Linked DNA regions of Schizosaccharomyces pombe. Changing the gene in region 3 together with the main gene of any one other region gives a genetic interaction. Each region holds a gene or a part of one and is shown on either strand. Other genes may lie near its edges. The genes, in order: spc7, dad1, klp5 and dam1.

Region 1 (6,546 bases), on a different chromosome or scaffold from region 3:
ATGTAGAAAACCTGGAAATTAGGGCTCAACCGGCTGTCTGTGAACTTTCGATTGCGGATGCAATCTATTTTTAAGTGTATTAATATTTTTATCAGAAATTGCAGACGAGGTTCAGGAACTTTGACTTACTTAATTAAACTGTGTTCAAAAATAAAAAATGGATAACTTAATAATCCGAGCGAAGCCTAAAAATCTAAAAAACCTCCTATTTCAATTCTGCAAAATTTGAGCTTGCAAACTCATAATTTTGTAAGCAGCGTCTGACTTTCAATTATAAAAATCTAAATATCCGTCCAATTCTCTTAAATTAGTTAAGATCTTTGTTTTGTTTAGGATCGGTCTCTTCTATCGATTGTGTATATATGTATCTAGGAGAACGTAAGATGTCGATCCCGTACTTATCAGATCAATGTGAAACTTTACTACACCAGATTTGCACATCCGAGAATCTTTTAATTATGGATAGTTTATTTATATATTAACTAAACACTTTATTTTGTAGCGCATTACGGGTTTAACAAAAAGATTTATAATTTCATTATCAGTCAAGATCTACCATTATTATTTCACCAATATTAAATAGCATAAAATATATACATTTTCTTTAGTAACATGTGAATTAACGAAAACGAATGAACTAGTATACAACAAGGATAAATGATATTTCCAAGCGTTAAGCACAAAATGAATATTGGGAAAGGAAGTCGCTTCGGCGCAGCATAGCTAATCATTCCCATTAATATCTAGCTGTATTTGTTCCAAACAGTAAGACAAGCAGACGAAAGGGCATAAGTTGATGTACAATGCACCACTTCCGAAAGAGTATTCAAAACCTCACTAACATAAGAGTCTCCTTCACTTTCCGCATACATCTGTTTCACAGCGACTGATGTAGAAGCATAAAACTTTCCTACTTCAGTAGTTTGGTAGATAGTATCAATTGGGAGACCGAAAACAACCTTTACCTTAGATGATACCGAACGCAGGTATAGCTCAACATTTATGATAATAGACTTATCATCATTTTCAACTGACAAAAAGGGCCAATGGTACCATAATCGCTGGAAATCTTGGACAAGATAAACAATTTGTTCCCAACAAATTGAAACATCGTTAAGATACTTCTTCAGAAGACGTAAGTTCCTAGAAAATACCTTGGAATGCCATTTAGAAAACGACGATGCAACATGCTCGAGCACATTTGAGCTGCAAGCATTACTTTCGTTAGGGAACTTACAGGCAATATCAACGTTAACTTGGAAATTTTGCCTCAAAATCTCAACCGTAACCTCGGCTGAATAAGGAGAAAGAGCAGTGTTATTTGTAGCTAATTTAATTCCGCCCGCGGTCAAAGAAACTATGGTCCAGCCAAGTTCATTTTTAAGATTTAACAACTGCTCCTCGTATCGCTTAATTTCGTCAAATTCAAAATCTTGGTTTTTCGCATAAAAATCTTGTTCAGCGTTGGTACGTAATTCCAAATCAGAGCAAGAGTTTGTCACTTGTTCTATCTTTATTGCCAACTCCTTTCTTCTTTCTTCTTTTTCACTCAGAAGCCGACGTCTCCTCTCAACCTCAACCTTGAGTTTCTCTAACTTTTCTTGCGCCTGCGCTAGAAGAGTTGAGTCATACTGATTTGCAAATTCCTTCTGCTTCTTTAATGTCTGTACTGTAGTAATACTACCATTGTATCTCTCTTGAATTTCCTGCGCATACGGATGAATAACATTCGCGACATCCATTAAATGGGTCAAGCTTCTTTGCATCCCAGTTAAATTTAAATTTAATTCATGTTTGATTCCTTGCATCAAACCCTCACGCCATTCGTACCAATCACCTTTTGCTTGAAGTCTAGCAAAAGTTTTCATCATTAAAAATTGTGAATCCATTAAAACCCTCATATCACTGGATGCTTTCCTATACTCATAGAATAGTAACGGGTTCTCTTTCAAAGTTTCCTCTTCAATTTTAGTAACAAAATCCTTCCCTTCGGCAATATAATCCTGTAATTGCTGACAACTAAATTTGTATAACTCTAACAAAGGGAATTGTATGTAAAAAGATTCCAAAAGTTCTTGGATACTGCATTTCTTATTTTCTTCAGCATTTGGCAATAGGGTTTCTCGTCTTTTAGCAATAGTAAGATTATCCAAAAATTCAATTCCGGTCATTTTAAGAAAATCTGATAGGCTTATCGGCTCGACGTTTGGTAGAGTTGGCATCGTATCAAATTCTGGCTCATTACCAACAGGTATTTCTTCATTTGGACCAGAGTCTTGATTCAAAATGTTCGTGTTAATAGTCGAAGCGCCCAACGATGTATCAACATTGCTCACACCTTTTGATAATTTGACGGGTGACTTCTCATGTTCATTCATGCCCACGGAAGTTGTATTACCTGCATTTGACGAACCAACTTGAACAAGTTCATTCCGGTTGGGTTCCTGAGATTCCAATCGCTCCAAACTAGTTGAATCGGCGTAATCTGCAGTTGTTATACGCTCTTTTTCATCCTCATTCGAAGGTTGTTGAGGAAGCTTAACAGAAGAAGTCGTATTAGTTGGAACGTGCTTAATTTCGTTAGTCTGTTGAATTGTTAGTCGCTCTGTTTTACTCAATCCAGAATCAACATCTGCATTAGACACTTGTTCGCCTTTGTCATCAGTGGGTTGCCTTGAAACTTCTTCAGGAAGACTTGAAAGCGGCTTTTCTGTGGTGAATGGCTTCTCTGCGGTAAGTGGAGTAGCTCCTAGACGATAATTTTCGGATCGCTCAACCGATTTATAGAGACCAGAATTTACTTTTTTTTCGAAAAAGTTAACCGGTAGAAGTTCTCTGTCATTCAAAGTTGAAATTGATTTTCGAGCATTACGGATTGTTGCAAGACGATTGCGACGCAAGGTACTTTGATCAAAACTTGAAGTGCTATATCTTAAGCGTCTTTTCCGAGTACCAAGCTTATCAGTAGGAGTCGCTACCACATGTCTACTTGGAGAAGAAGAGTTAGGATCTTTCGAAAATTTTAGATTATTGTTCCCATTTGGTGACCGTTCATGGTTGGTAAAGGAGGTAGTATTGAAATTTTCTGACTTATCACTATATGAGGGTATTTCTTCTCTCTCGGCATTTTCCTTGTCTGCTGAAGGTAACTCAACATTGTTTCCACGGATTTGAAAAGCCACTGTTTCGTCCATAGCAGCTTCTTCCACCTCAAGATGAGATGTAGAATTCTCACAAGGAAAAACTGTTGAGGTTAATTCCATTGGTTGCTCTTCGGAAAGTGCTTCTTTAGAAGGGGATAATATATTGAAAGGTCTAGTAATGTCCATAAAGTCCTCACTGTCGGGAATGGGCTTTGAAGAATTGGCAGTCTTGTTATTATCCTTTCTCGGTTTTGAAGAAGAGGATATATTTGAGGTAAATTGATTTAAATCATCTTCATTCAAATGGGTGGGTGCATTTGTAGAGCTAATGGGTTGTGTCAAGTCCATTATTTGCTCTTCCATGGATCGTGACGATGGACGAATGGGGGAAAGGAGAGTTAAATGTGAGTTTTCGATATTAAAGGCGGAGGTGGTATCCATTTCTTCTTCTCCATTAGTTAAATCGTTCGGAGAATGATTAGTTAAGTGAGGATTAGCATTAATTGGTCGGGTAAGGTTCATAGGCGCTTCTTCTAAGTTTTGTAAATCTAAGCCATTGGAAAAATGAGACACTGGAGATAAATTAATGTTATTAGAGGTAATATCCATGTCAACAATAGCTTCTTGGGAAGTTAAAGGGCGAGCGATGGGGGAAAAGTGTTGCGGAATTTCAATAGGTCGAGTTAGCATCATATCTTCTTCTTCTTCTTTATTTTCCGACTGATCGTGATTTTCGTTATTTTTGGAGAAATCCGAAATTTCAATACTAGTTGGACTAGATGATTTGTTAGGGGATGAAAGTTGAGTTTGGTTTGAAGGGTCATGAGAAGCTTTTAAACTATAAACAGTACCTTGCTCGCTAGAGCTAAGACCTTTAATTGATTCGGAATGTGATAAAAACGAATCTGCTTCTTGGAATTGGATAGTCAAATCCATGTTAGTTTCCTCTCTATCATTAACCTGCTCTCTCGTGGCATCGTGAACATCAAGTGCCTTTTCTGCTTCAGGTAAGGCTTTTGTTGGATTCTGGATACTTAAATCATCATTCTCCGGATACAGAGAAGGAGGCGGATGGCCAGCATTCAATGCCTCAGAGACCATATCTGATTCGGTTGACCGAATAGGGGACGCAATGTCCATATCACTACCGTCTGAAATAATCGAGGCACTATGACTATGGGGAGATGATTGTGTTTCGTTTCTCGAAAAACTTGTCGTTGTTGGACCTTTAGGGGAATGGTTTTTAGCATCAGATGCAAAAGTTCGCTCAGGTGTGCTGTGATTAGATGTCGACTTTTCCGAGTCACTCTGGTGATCTTTAGGATACCAACGTACACGTGCATGACTAGCAAAGGAAACTCTTCTGTTCAAACTTTTTCTAGACGTCTCACGCGACAATTGCTGTAGGTCTTCCATTTGAAGTCTCTTTGACGCAGCCATAACATTACTAGAGATTCCAATGACCGTGTTATTTATTTGTGTGTGTATATCATTAAAGTCTTCATCTCCTGTGAAAGCGGGATCTACGGAAAAGGATGAATAACTCTTTAGAATGCCTTTTGCTGGATTTGTGTGTTCTTTAAGTTCTTGAAGCGCACCAGGTCCTCCAAGCGAGTGTGGACGCTTCCTACTTTTGTTTCTTCCTATAACATTATCGGTCGTCGCTATACTATTGCGACGAGGCGATGTTGGCATCGTCAAGTTAAACAAAGCACGTCGACACACGAACTTTGTTGTTTTTAGATTAAGACGAACATAAGAAATTGTAATGATAGTTCGTTAAATTTATGGCGGTGAGTTTCTTTTTGCGGCCTAGAACGCCTTTCGTTGTATTATTTAAGGAGTCTGTAAGCCTTTTTAGGATACGGTAGACTACGATGATGCTTTCTGTAATCATTCCTGTTAGCTAATCTGAATAAATAATGAATAAAGATCCTATTTGTAAAAGTTCCAATGAACAATATGACTGTTGTTCATTCTTATCATTAACAAATTGTATAAAGTAAAGGTAAATTGGGGGTACTTTTGTTCAACTGGGTCTATTTGTAATATTGGGTTTTCTGTAAACAATAAGGTAATGAGCATCACAAGCATATGCGCACTGTGATGGAGGAATACAAACTTCAAAAAGGTATAGATATCTAAGATTCACTTGAATGTTTTGTCAAATGAGCCGCACTGTTCTTTTGGCATAATTTAATGGATTAACTTGAAAGCAATGTGCGGTTGTAAGAAGTATAAGTAAATTGTAGCGAGGTTGTTATAAATTATTATTTCGCAAATTGTATATTATAATAATACTCGTGAATATTCCTTTAAAGGAGTGTGTTTATTTAATATCATTCCAGCGGCTTATAATCAATAATCGAGAAAAAAACTGTTTATTGTTAGTATTTCTATAATTTGATGGATATTGCCATGAACTTACAACCACATGTAATTCTATGTTCTACTTTCCATTGAGGTTCTCGTAACCTGTTCCATCATTGTTTACTATTCAAAAGTGGTTATAAAAGGTTACCGGCTAAGCAAATATAAGCTAGCTCATTCTGAACTATTTCCTGTTCATTTCCATGGTTATACTTAGCCATAGTGAAATTGACCAGACATTAATTCGTGTACTTTTCCTTTTACGATGATATATTGATCACAAATAGAAATTATAAATCCTTTTAAGTCAGATTACGATTGCGTTGCTAAGACCTGAAATTGATATATTATGTACTATAATCCATATGTGTTATTAACAACACTAATGCTTTCAAATCACAGTAAAGCTTAGTAACATAACTAGCATTTGTACAACATTTAAATGAGTAAAAAAAAAACAAGTATGGCTGAGCTCGCTTGTCTTAATATTTTTTATTAGAATGATAAATCATATACCACGATTAGGATTTCTTTGAAGAATGGAAATACAAAAGGACGTAAAATGTTTATATTCGGCACAGGAAGGATAGCGTTGTATAAACGAATGATAATTGTTCAGTATTTCAAACAAGTAAGGCTTTTGTCATCAATACTAACATTCTTTTTTTTTTTTTAAATCCGGGAAATTGACAATTCTTACAATTGGATATTTGTAAATCCCGTGTATCCCGTAGTATGGTATGATATTCTATTCGTTGCATTTGGTATAAGCCTTCAAATACGAGCAGACTTGGTTAGCCCAATATCATTCTCCCATTTGGATTTAGTCAATGTTACGATATAAATGGTCACAAATCTCCGGTATCGTAATGTTATCCAGTTTCAAACGACATAACATGTTTCAATTTAATAATGACTTATTAATAGTTGCATAACTACTGTATTTCACTAGAATCCTTTACTTAGCATAATGTGTGTGACATGATAAAAAGGGCGTCAGACATCTTCTCTGAGGAAGATTTGATAAAAATAG
Region 2 (3,227 bases), on a different chromosome or scaffold from region 3:
AAAATGTTACTGTGGGCCAGGCCTATTGTGAACTTCATAAAATACCTTACATAGAGGCAACTCCGCCACTTTTACGGGAAGAGCTTGTTAATTATCAATCTTAATTTTTCGTCTCCGGATAGAGTTTGTTCATGATTGCTTTTTTAATGAATAATATTGACAAGACTCGGATAGTTTTGTTAATCGTGTTTTACTTTACTACTAATCTATGGAATATTTTGAAAATAACATAATTTAATTTATACATTTCACGGCCTTAATCATCCTTTATTGGTTTATCATATTGAATAGTTGGTTTAGTAATAGAGGTACTAAAAGTCAAGCGTTAATTGTCCGAAGTATGCATTATAAATTCTAATTCCAAATGAGAATATTTCATAACCCATTCATTTGTATTAAACGTGACAGTAAATAAGAATTTATTTAGTCTTTATACATATGCCATCAATCTTCATAAAAACGTACTGGAGTTTAAATTTTAAAACGTGGTTATTACCCTTGCTTAAAAAACATTCTTTTTTTATTTAAGGAAATAAGTGTTGTGGCATTTAGTTTTCATATGCAATTAATAGGTTTTCAATCCCAAATTGCGTTGTCTACTAATTAAACGTCGTAACTACTTCTTTCTCGAATGGAATCGTAAATGAGTGAAGCACAATTAAAAACTTCCTTGGAGGCTTTAAGTCAAAATTTATTACCTGGAAACCAAAATCATTGCAGTTTCGACTTCCAATTGAAGGAAATTGACGATTCAATTAAACAGGTGATAAAATGTGCTCTAGTTGCTGCTGAGATAAAAAATAATGAGGTATGTGTACCATTATTACGAAAGATAATGGAAAAAATTAATATGAATTGCTTTTAAAACTCGAAAGTGGTGTTATGTCGAGATACAGTTTTTTAAAAAGAAGTTCGCTGTACAAATATACATACAAAAACATTGTTTAACTAATATTTTTCTTCCTCTTATTTCCGGCTATTGAGAGAGAGCCTAAAATAGACATAATATGACATGCTGCTTACTTTATGACTTCTGACTAACACTTGCCTTTTAGTGTTTGGACATGCTTGATAGCGGGATCCGAGAGCTGTTGGATGCAAAGCAGAGATTGTTATTGATGCAGCAATCGGTGGATACATTGGCTAACAAAACCAGTGAAAATATAAGTGATTTTGAAGTACGTACCACGGAAATGACTTTCCTACTTTTTCTATTATATGTAGATGAAGTAAAAACATCAATTTAGACGTATTTTTTTACTGTTTCATATTCAATTGTTCTAACAAAATTAGAATAAAAGTTTGTTGGATATTTATACACAAATTTTTAAGGAACTCATTCAAGAATACGAAGAAAAATCCGACTATGGTAAATATGGCACACAAGGAGAATACATTGAATTTAAAAAAACCATATGGCATGAGCAAAATACAGACGGTTCTGACTTTCCTTCTATGAAAACATTTTTTAATGTCATGAACACTGAAGAACAGGAAGCAGATGAAGTGATGGTATATTCAGCTACCTTTGATAACAGATGCCCTTTAACTTTACAACCAATTGTTCACCCAATATTATCGACAGCCTGTAATCATTTTTATGAAAAAGATGCTATTTTGTCTCTGTTAAATCCAACTTGTGTATGCCCTGTTGTAGGATGTGAAGCTCGTTTACAAAGGTCTTTACTTAAGGAAGATGAGATTCTTGAACGCAGATTACGCCGCGCTCAGGAAATAAGTAATTTAAAAGAAGCTTAGTCCTTTTCTATTTACATTGTAGTACTGATCCGGATTTATTATTATTATTATTATTATTATATTTAATGTATTTGTTTATTCCAACTTGTAAATATGCATAACATGTCTCTTTTGACTAATATTCTATGCTCGTACGGAAGCTTCAATTTTGGCATTTAATTATGAAGATAGTTAAATCTAATATAAGATCTACTTGATTGTAACCTTATGATAAACTTTGGCTCATGCTTGACTTTGACACTAGCCATTAACATACCATGTCCTCAGAAAATATGGATATTACTGAAAACATACAAAATGAGCAAAATAAAGATTTTGATGATATAGATTTTGAAAGAAGGCGTCGTCTTTTGACCTTACAAATTTCAAAAAGTATGAATGAAGTTGTGAATCTTATGTCAGCTCTAAATAAAAATCTTGAAAGCATTAACGGTGTTGGAAAGGAATTTGAAAATGTCGCGTCTCTTTGGAAGGAGTTTCAAAATTCAGTGTTACAGAAGAAAGATCGTGAAATGCTAGATGCACCTTGATGGTCGTTCTTTTCTAAATGTATTTTCATTGCCGCTAAACATATGCCTTAACGCAGTTTGTTTCAAAGAATTTGCATATTAAATTAAATTATTAGTTATTATATGTTTTTTATGAATCTATAAATTTAATAGCGTCCTCAAAAATTGGTCAAAGGTCAGGATTCTTTTAAATTAACTTACATATTACAATACACAAACCTTAAGTCACTTCATTAATAATGTGTTTGTATATATATATTAGTTTTTAATCTTCCTATATTCTTCTAAAAGCTGCCAATTTTTAAATAAGCCGTTCATCGTCTGAGAGGCAGAACAACTGTTGATGTTAATATTTGCATAGTAAACTTTTTCTTTACTACTATACGAATCCTTTTAGAAATTACCATTTTAATGGTATTATTTAAATTATAAAAGGGGTTTAATGCAGTTTAGCATAATAAAAAGGTAAAAGGAATCATAAGTATTCATTTCAATATCTTCTATATAACTATCGTTTTATTCACGACATGAATACCCTGAACCAGTCAGGGTTAAAAAACCGATTTTCAAAGTTTCGGACAAATATAGGCATATTTGAAGTAAAAGTAAAAAAAAACATTAAGACCAATTGATTTTTGCTGACATATATTCAGAATCAAACAGATAACGTCTTAATAAACAAATTATAAATCACAAAATAGCTCCAATAGTCGATAATCCATCTAAACCATATTGGCTAGTTAAATACCTGAAAAGATAAAAAGTTGAGATAGGAGCAAAATTCTGAAAAGGAAACTGCTACACAATATGCTTAGATTAAAAGAAAGCATACAAGCATAATGTCTCTATTGCAGCAAACGTTTGGAGTATTGGTTTATATGCAATTAGCAATGTTAGAATGCGTAAATAAAGCGTTTTTCTTGCTTCTTATGTTCCAACAATCTCATCAAATGCTATACA
Region 3 (5,469 bases):
AATGGAAGGTACTGGTGTTAATAAGAATGCTTCTACTGGCCGCTATTTCTCTGAAAACGATGCTGTCCGTGTTGCCCAAGGTGTCTCTGGTTTGGTCGTCGACAAGGGCTCGCTTCTTCGCTTTTTACCTTATCTCTACACTGGTTTGCAACACGCTCTTCAAGATATTGGTACCAAATCTCTTGATGAGCTTCATGAAGCTGTCGACAAGCATGAAGTTCGCTTCGAGTTACGTTCGAGCGCTGCCATCCGTGAAGGTGATATCCAAGGTTTTGCTACATACGAAAAGCGTCTTTACTAGTCGTGTATAAGGATATTTAGGAAAAATTTAATTAAAGTTAATAAATTGCATTTATAGTACTTATTTTTTTTTCAAGTCAATTGTGTTTTGCTTAGGTAGAAAAAAACAAAATTATGTACATTGGAGGTGGCAGACATATATGTACGCTTGTATTTGATAGTGCATTACGAACGAATTGTGCAAGTTTACTAAGAGAATTTTAGGGTTTATAAATATATAATCTAATAAGTTATTAATTCATTAAAAATTCATATCATCAAGCTTATCCGTTTTTTTTTTTTAAATATACCCAACAGGATATTTAGAGGATTCGTATTTGAATATACGGACCTTTAGGTGGCTTTCTCTTCTTCGTTTTCAGCCATGCTTAAAGATTTCCTAATAATGTTAGCTGGATTTGAAAGATGAAGAGTAGTCAATGAACTGAGGCTTTGTCGAGTCTTCGGTTTAGAAAAATCAAAGTTGTGAATAGCTTCATTGTTGAGGATGAATGTTGGTGAGTCCATATTGGCTCTGGAAAAATTCAAATCAGGAACTTTTGGGACTGGACTACCATCCAGATCAATAGTGTCCAGATGAGGTAAAGAAACATCGTCAGTTGACGAGTCCTCGGCCAGCAGTTGATCAAGCTGTGTGGATTCACTATTAACTTCTTGCTTTTTCTCCAAAGGACTTTTTATCAAAAGTCCAGGTTCTGGTTTATCTTCCAACATCGGGGAGACAGGCGAAGTAAGATTAATTTCAACATCTATCTGATTCTTATTTTCAGGCCGTTTATGTGCAGGAGTTGAAGGCATATGCATAGTATTAAAGAAGTTCATGTTCTTTAACTTAGAGGTTTGAATGGGTGAGTTATACGCGGAGGCACCTGAGTCAGACGTAGACATTGAATCGTCGAAACGAACCCTCTTTTTTGGAGAACGTTTTGAAAATACAACTGGTTTTTTTGGAGACTTCACGAAAAACATTCGAGGCAAGTTATTATTAAGCAAGGGTTGAGTGGGAAAACTATGAACTCTATCACGATTGATAGTTCGTGAATCATCGGATGTTGAGTTGAGCTTATAACTTTCTGATAAGACAGATATATTAGGTTTCTCGCCAAGACCAATGCCCAACAACCACTTTTCCAGTATCGAGAATAGCTCTTGCATACCTCCCTCTTTTAGCAATGAACTAGCTTTGAAAGAACTTCTAAGAAGGGATTCTAAAACAGGAGTGAACTCATCAACTTTATTCTGAGCATCTAGAACCTGATTCTCAATAATTGATTTTAGCAAGTCAACTTCATCCTGTAACACATCAGCGTACATGGTAGCACCTTCTTGTTTGTATGTGTTGATAATGTGAGAAACACTTCTCTGAAACTTTTGGTATACAAGTTCAGGATCTATATCAGCAATGATCTCTGCACGACGAGTTAACAATGATTCTAACTTTGAACGAACTAAAAATACTCGTTCATCTGCGGAATTCGGAAGTATTCGCTCATAGCAGGATAACCAGTACTTAAGTACGCGAATTGAATCATCAAAATGTTTCACCTTTTCTACCTTATTAATAGTATCATTTTGCAGTGGTAAAGTCTCCTCAAATGTCATACGCAATAAATTTCTGGCTTCTGCAAGCTTCGATTCATGAGCAAAAGATTGAGTTACAGCGTCCTGATCAGAACCATTTGATTGCGATGACAAATCGATCTGTGCGAGACGATTCTCCAACTCTGAAATTTGCTCACGTAACTCAACGATTGCTTTTACATATTGGCTTACATGTCGATCTACACTGATCATGTTCCTTAACACTTCGGTTTTGATATTCTTTGCTCGATTAGCATATTTTAGAGTATTGTGAGTTTCTTCGTAATGAACAGAAGACGGAGATACGCAAACAATCATAACTGTCCGACAATTTCCGCCTAAACTAAACTTAAGTAAGCGAGTAAGTTTAGAATCACGATAGGGGACATGCGCACGGCGATGGGGATCACAAAGGGCATTGATACAATTTCCTAGGGCTAAAAGAGATTTATTAATATTAGCACCTTCAAAAAGACGACTACCTCTTAATTTGGTAGCTGTTGCACGTTCTGAGCCAGCCAAGTCAATAATTGATAAAGTGGCCAAAGTGTGGTCCTCATTGATGCCAGCTGTACGAGGTTTTTGGATCAACGTAACCTGCAATACAGCATGCGAACGAGATGAAGCAGCGTTAGCTTCTGTCGGAGACATAGTACGATTAGCATTTCCCTTCATGATAATATCAATGATTTCTTCCAAAGATTCTGGAGACAAAGAAGTAAGACCTGGTACAGTAATGCGACGGTCTGCATCTTCCCGTAAATTTAATGGCTTTGCTTGATTTGGGGTCGGTGATACTAATAAATCACGAATAGTTTCATTATAAATTTCCAAATAGGAAAGGCGAAGGTCAAAAATTTTTTCATCTCTTAAATGATCCATTCTCTCAAAAAGTTCTTTTAGTGTCAAATATATTAAACCAGGATCTTGCATTGTTCCACTAATGGTGTGAGTTTTACCACATCCAGTTGCTCCATATGCAAAGATAGTAGCATTGAATCCATCCAAAATATTGTCTAATAACGGCCTGGCAGTTCTCTCATACACCTGTTGCTGAGTAGCAGTTTCATCAAAAACCCTATCAAAAGCATAACGAAGATCACGGCCAAATCCCGCAGAATTGTTTGACTTTCTAGATAATCTAGCGAGACTCTGTTGAGAAGTAGAAAGTCTGCGGTTTGTGGCACTCAAAGTAGCCGTTGTTTCATCCGGGGGATCAAATACCAAGACACGTCCATCAAGTACCTTTACTACTCGTCGAATTTGACGTCCTGAACCAGGGTTCCTTAAGGAAGAAGATGTTCCAAATGATAAACGATCTGAGGATGCAATTAAATTTGCAGATTCAGCTGTACTAAATGGGCGAACACGGACTATTTTATGTTAGCAAAAAGATATGAATTTAAAAAACATCACATTAAAGACTAACCTGTAACGGTAATGGACGACTGTCTTGACATTGAAAAGCAAAATTTCCATGCAAGCAATCATCCAAAACAGATGAAAAGAAGGGCACTCGCAAACAACAATTCCAATAACCTTCTTGAATAAAAGCAATTTATATCGAAGATCACTATTAAAATAGATGTAACAGTAGAAAAGAGCGAGAAACGCGTTTTTTGAGTGCGCTTCAATGTTGACTGTTTGGCATTTGCCAAGTTACATTTCTTAGTCAAGTAACGCACTTTGTTTTGAATGGTTGTTATGGCAATAAAAGATGTAAACAATTACATTATTTACATATTTTGACAATAAACACAAATACAGGTAGTTACGATTAAAATCGAGTTGAAATACTGTTTTACCTTTTCATTTTCACTAGTTGTGTATAATGCTATCTCAGTATCATAGATGCTTTTACAGTATTTTTATTATTATAAAAGGCAACTAAATTCGATGATTGAACTGAATCGCTATCGTTTGGTTTGTAACTTATAATGTACACATGCCTGGCAAGATTCTTGCTTTGCTTTACTTTTATCACACTTTAATAAATCGTCCGACAAATTTAAATCATTTTCACCTATAATTGCAATAGAACATCAAATAAGTGTATATATTCTTCTAGCACTTCTATAAACACCACAACTGCTGCACTAGCTACTTTATTGCCAATTAACTGATGGCCTAAATATCTGATTAGTTTGAAAGCAGAGGACTAGTGAGCGCTATAAACAAAATTATATTCTATATTTTATATTGGGTATTCCTATATTCGTTAGGTACTAAATACTGAGTTTTACTTCACCTTTTAGTCGATATCGTTGAGACTTTTACCAATAGCAACTATAATGAATTAGGGGTTTTTCGTGCTATAACATTACCGCTCAATTTCTTTCAAACCACCAAGCGTCAAATTAGAACTACCTACTAAGCATTCGAATATGCAATAAAATTTCACCTTTGCCATAACCATAAATTTTACTATTGTTGGATAAGTCTTATTATTGCTAAGTAATTGATTACCTTAAGTTCATTTATCAAATAACAAAGCTCTACGTTTCAAATTTCAAAAAAAAAAACTTAACCTACTCATTGAGTTGTTTCAAATAAAAAAAAAGCAATTGGATTCTCTTCTGTTGGAAAGCACCCTTCATACAGCAATATTGGTATTTAAGGCATTGAATTTAAATATATTACTATGGCATTTCGTGATTCAACTCGCGATTTCAACAGAAGTAGACCTGAAAAAAGGCATGCTTCGAGATCTTCTTCACCTCGTTCATTTCGACCTTCAAATCAAAATGCAAGAGCAAATTATAATTTAGTAAGTAGGAAAATGTTAGTTGTTTTTGAATTAACCTTCCCTTTAGCCGAGAGTGAGAGATGCTATGAAAGAGGAAGAGCGAAGTAGGGAAACGAAAGAAATGCAAGAACGGGAATTTTTGCGTTTACAGCAGCTTCGAAGAGCTATTATTCGACTTAAGAATGATCGTTCTAAGCCTATAGATAAACTTCTTGTCAGCGTTTACTTGATGCCAGGCCCAGAATGGGAAGAGAATGGAGAAAAAAATTCAATTGATTTTGGAACAGTTGACATGTTTGATCCACTCTCTGTTATTCAAGTAAGGGACTTATTTTATTTTTACTTTATAACAGATTAATCATTAACATACTTAGAGTTATAAAGCAGAAGATTTGGAGGAGATATCTAGAAATATTGGTGATATTCAGCAGCTGGAAACGAACCAATGTAGACTAACTTATTGGAAGGTATGGATTATTTTTTATGCTTTAAGTGCTAAATTATACATTATAGTACGTTAAAATGCTAGTGAATTCTCGAATGGAACATAACAAAGTTGGGCAATTTTCAAGAGGGTTAAAGGTCGTAGCAGGTGAAGTACAAAGGATTTTAGCCCCTAAATCTTTTGAACAATTAGAACAGCTTGAGGCACAAATTCAAAAAAAATTGAAGAGCAATGTCCCTCTCGATACAGATTATTGGGTTGATTTACTAAACTCTTTAAAATCTTACAAGGCCATTGCTTATTTAAAAAAGACTTTTAATGAAGAATTACAAATTCGAAAAAATAAACTTGATAATGAAGAATGGGACAAAGCTTTTTCCGATGCCAAAAAACTGTC
Region 4 (3,355 bases), on a different chromosome or scaffold from region 3:
TTAACGAGTTGAAAATTTGACCGCTAAATTAGAATATTGAATTCTCGCTCGGCTTCTTATTCTTAAAATTTTAGAGTCATACCTTACCAAGTACAGCAGTAGTAAGCAGTCACAACTTAACAAAAGAAATATGAATTTCGAAAAACATTTCTAAGCACAACCAAAATGCAAATTTTCGTCAAAACCCTTACGGGTAAGACGATTACCCTTGAGGTGGAGTCCTCTGACACTATTGATAATGTCAAGAGCAAAATCCAAGACAAAGAAGGAATTCCTCCTGATCAACAACGTCTTATTTTCGCTGGTAAGCAGTTAGAAGATGGACGTACTTTGTCTGATTACAACATCCAAAAGGAGTCCACTCTTCACCTCGTTTTGCGTCTTCGTGGTGGTGGTAAGAAGCGTAAAAAGAAGACTTACACTACTCCCAAGAAGATCAAGCACAAGCACAAGAAGGTTGAGCTCGCCGTCCTCAAGTACTACAAGGTTGAGGATGATGGAAGCGTTAAGCGTCTTCGTCGTGAGTGTCCTAACTGTGGTGCATCCACCTTCATGGCCAACCACAAGGACCGCCTTTACTGTGGTAGATGCCACTTGACCCTCAAATTGGAAGCTTAAATGAGTTTGCGATAAAATAAATTAACACTTTTTTAAGTGATATTTTGTAATATATCTATATTGCTCATTGTAATGTGCTATATTGAATTGAAAATACTTATATTGTAAATGGTTATGAAAACATTTCATTTGTATTATATTTCTAGTAGTCCCATGATGATTTTTTTAAATAAATAATCTAAACATAAGCCAAACTAAACAAGCAAGCTACGGTTGAATGATTGGTGGAATTTTCAACAGTTTTTATATGCGCAAACGCGATTATTGAAAACGCCATTGAGGAATCATGAGTATTTCGAGGACATTAGATCTAAACTCAAGTTTTTAGTAAAAGGTAGTAAATATAGGAAGATGCATTCTTTTATTAATAAAAGAATAAAAAGAATTGAGTCGTAAAACATAGCGTTTAGATTGAGTAAATTTAAACATTACCAATCCATTTCAGTCGGTCGTAAACGGTTCTCGCTCGTATATATTTGTCAACATTCCAATAGCAGTTGGCAAAGTTGGTACCTGCAGCATCGCAGCATAAGCGGACTTTTTCATTTTGAGCATCATCATCATCTAGCTTGGCCCAATTTAAAGAGTGCTGCTCCCATTCACTGAAATACGCATAATAGCGAGCAAGTGCTGCAGTCTTTTCAGCGCTATCTTCGATGACTGCATCATTCTCATGCTCTACTGGCTCTATGTATTGGAATATCTTTTTGTTGCCTCCTCCTAAAGAAGTAGGAATTACCGAATAGTCTATGTATTTTTCGAGGTCGTTTGCGCTCTGAGTAAAAACAATTTTCGCAGCAATCTCTGGTTTAATCCATCCCTTAATAATGTTCCAAACACTTCTGAAAATCCAAGGAGATTTATGAAGAATACAAACACCAAGAGATTGTGGGTAATAATACTCCAAACACGATGCCAAATACTTAACGAAAGAATAATCCATATTATGTAGAGAAAAGTTACTAAGGTCGAACAGAACATTCACATTTTGAGGAGAGTCCATAGAGTCCTTCAAAGTCTTTTGTGGTCGCAGAAAAAGTCGCATAGTTTCCATTACCCACACGGTCATCTCACGAAGAGAATTCTGAGTCAATTTTGAGGGTTGATGTAAATGGACTTGAATATAGCAGATAGGGCGATCAGATAAGTCCCTTCCCAACATAGTTACCTTTCCAGTTCTCAATTGTTCCAAGAACTGATCATCATTTGTCTCTTTGGCATAAAGCTCACCCCGCTCAACGATACGCTCAACACCTGTATCTACGCGCCATTGTAGCGTATTGATTAACTTTTGACTTGCTTCATGTGAATCGTTATTGCAAGAAGCCAAAAATCGTACTAAGATAGCGTCGGGTGAGTCGCATTTTGCTAATCGTATGAACGATTCGCGATATTCTTTATGCTCTTGAAACCTAGGCCATGTCTTTTGAATCATCAACTTTAAAGGTGAATAACTTTCAAAGCTCACTTTTTCGTCTACAGTCTCAGGCTCAGGCTGTTTTTGAGAACGTCGGAAGAAAAATGTTCCTGCTGCTGCTGCCGAAAGCGCTGTAGAACATCTACATCTCACCCAAAGTCGCGAAAACATGGAGAAATACCAGAAAGCTACTCAAAATCCTTTAGAAAATGTTGATAATGTGAAAATAGAAAGTGAGAATGCAATCCCTTCGAATCTCCAAGCCTTTACTAAGTCACTGGCTGTTTTGGATGATAATGTGAGTGAATTTCGTAAACGAATGAATCACCTGTCAGCAACCAAACAAATACTCGACAATTTCAACGAATCGTTTTCTTCTTTTCTTTATGGATTGCAAATCAATGCTTTTTGCGTAGATTATGAAAATGCACCGCTTTCGGAAAGTTTTTTACTCCAAGCTAAGAAAGACCAATTTAAGGCAACGCTGATGACTCGTACTGGTCATTCGATTTCTGACCCTCCCTACGATGGTGGTGTTATTTCTCACGATCCCAATTTTGCAACTGCAGACGAAACATTTGCTACAAATGACACTTCTTTCATTGAACGGCCAGAAACCTATTCCGCTTCCAGATAAATTTATTTAAGCAAGGGAGACTGGTTGAAGTTTTTTCTTTTTCATTTATTATTATAATAGTCGAAGGGAATAACCTAGCATATCAGGTTGGATAATGAAACAACGGAATCATAATGATCATTCAATTTTACGATTTATATACAATTTTTAACATTTTAATGCACATTTTTCTTCAGCGAAGTGAACTGTAGACAATTGCTTTAAAAGTTCTAGAAAGCGTTCAGTAAACTCATATGTAATAGCTTCTCCAATCTTCAATTTCCAATAAAATGAATATGTATTTGTAGTCTATTTTCGATACTCACATTTACAACTTCAGTGGCTCTTTCAATACCTCAAATATGTAACACTAATTGAACCTATTTGAAGTGTCGAAATTTGTTCACATTCTATATTTGTAATTTTAAACATTGGAGCAATTACACTTGTTTTCAAGTATACAACTAGTTTTCGTTTTACTTCAAAATGCATTTCTTTGTTCGGAAGTACCGCGGCAAAGCAGCGTATGTAAGTGTATAGCCGCGGGTCATTCCACTTGTCTCAAGCCAGTCATTAGAACAATATACGTATCGGCCAATTGTGCTGAAAATGGTATCGAATATGTCTCGCTTACTATTTTGTGGATTTAACCAGGATTCAAAGTACTTATTTTATTGTTTTTGATATCAACATCACTAATACTT

What was found.
Region 1: mutations in klp5 (region 3) and spc7 are lethal when combined (synthetic lethality), as found in Schizosaccharomyces pombe (2 studies listed by BioGRID, with this or other methods).
Region 2: mutations in klp5 (region 3) and dad1 are lethal when combined (synthetic lethality), as found in Schizosaccharomyces pombe (2 studies listed by BioGRID, with this or other methods).
Region 4: mutations in klp5 (region 3) and dam1 are lethal when combined (synthetic lethality), as found in Schizosaccharomyces pombe (2 studies listed by BioGRID, with this or other methods).

What each region holds. Positions count from the first base shown.
Region 1 is NC_003421.2:785,777-792,322, forward strand, and holds spc7 (outer kinetochore KNL network protein, KNL-1 family member, blinkin, Spc7), read right to left. Parts: upstream 4,885-6,546; 5' UTR 4,839-4,884; coding exon 744-4,838; 3' UTR 513-743; downstream 1-512. UniProt on the Schizosaccharomyces pombe protein: Acts as a component of the outer kinetochore KNL1 complex that serves as a docking point for spindle assembly checkpoint components and mediates microtubule-kinetochore interactions.
Region 2 is NC_003424.3:3,088,114-3,091,340, reverse strand, and holds dad1 (DASH complex subunit Dad1), read left to right. Parts: upstream 1-2,000; 5' UTR 2,001-2,015; coding exon 2,016-2,288; 3' UTR 2,289-2,557; downstream 2,558-3,227. Other genes in the region: taz1 (telomere length regulator), read left to right, coding at 1-104; Smc5-6 complex non-SMC SUMO ligase subunit Nse2, read left to right, coding at 644-808, 1,056-1,178, 1,294-1,758. UniProt on the Schizosaccharomyces pombe protein: Component of the DASH complex that connects microtubules with kinetochores and couples microtubule depolymerisation to chromosome movement; it is involved in retrieving kinetochores to the spindle poles before their re-orientation on the spindle in early mitosis and allows microtubule depolymerization to pull chromosomes apart and resist detachment during anaphase.
Region 3 is NC_003423.3:1,708,581-1,714,049, forward strand, and holds klp5 (kinesin-8 family plus-end directed microtubule motor Klp5), read right to left. Parts: upstream 3,538-5,469; 5' UTR 3,342-3,537; coding exon 3,311-3,341; exon of another isoform or gene 3,255-3,310; coding exon 634-3,254; 3' UTR 501-633; downstream 1-500. Other genes in the region: IMP dehydrogenase Gua1, read left to right, coding at 1-301; cay1 (cactin), read left to right, coding at 4,523-4,648, 4,695-4,946, 5,002-5,094, 5,141-5,469. UniProt on the Schizosaccharomyces pombe protein: Has a role in establishing metaphase during mitosis. Required for chromosome segregation where it generates tension during kinetochore capturing.
Region 4 is NC_003424.3:3,105,691-3,109,045, reverse strand, and holds dam1 (DASH complex subunit Dam1), read left to right. Parts: upstream 1-2,204; coding exon 2,205-2,672; 3' UTR 2,673-2,855; downstream 2,856-3,355. Other genes in the region: ubi5 (ubiquitin-40S ribosomal protein S31 fusion protein), read left to right, coding at 166-618; csr101 (sec14 family protein), read right to left, coding at 1,040-2,206; WD repeat-containing protein Atg1801, read left to right, coding at 3,138-3,175. UniProt on the Schizosaccharomyces pombe protein: Component of the DASH complex that connects microtubules with kinetochores and couples microtubule depolymerisation to chromosome movement; it is involved in retrieving kinetochores to the spindle poles before their re-orientation on the spindle in early mitosis and allows microtubule depolymerization to pull chromosomes apart and resist detachment during anaphase.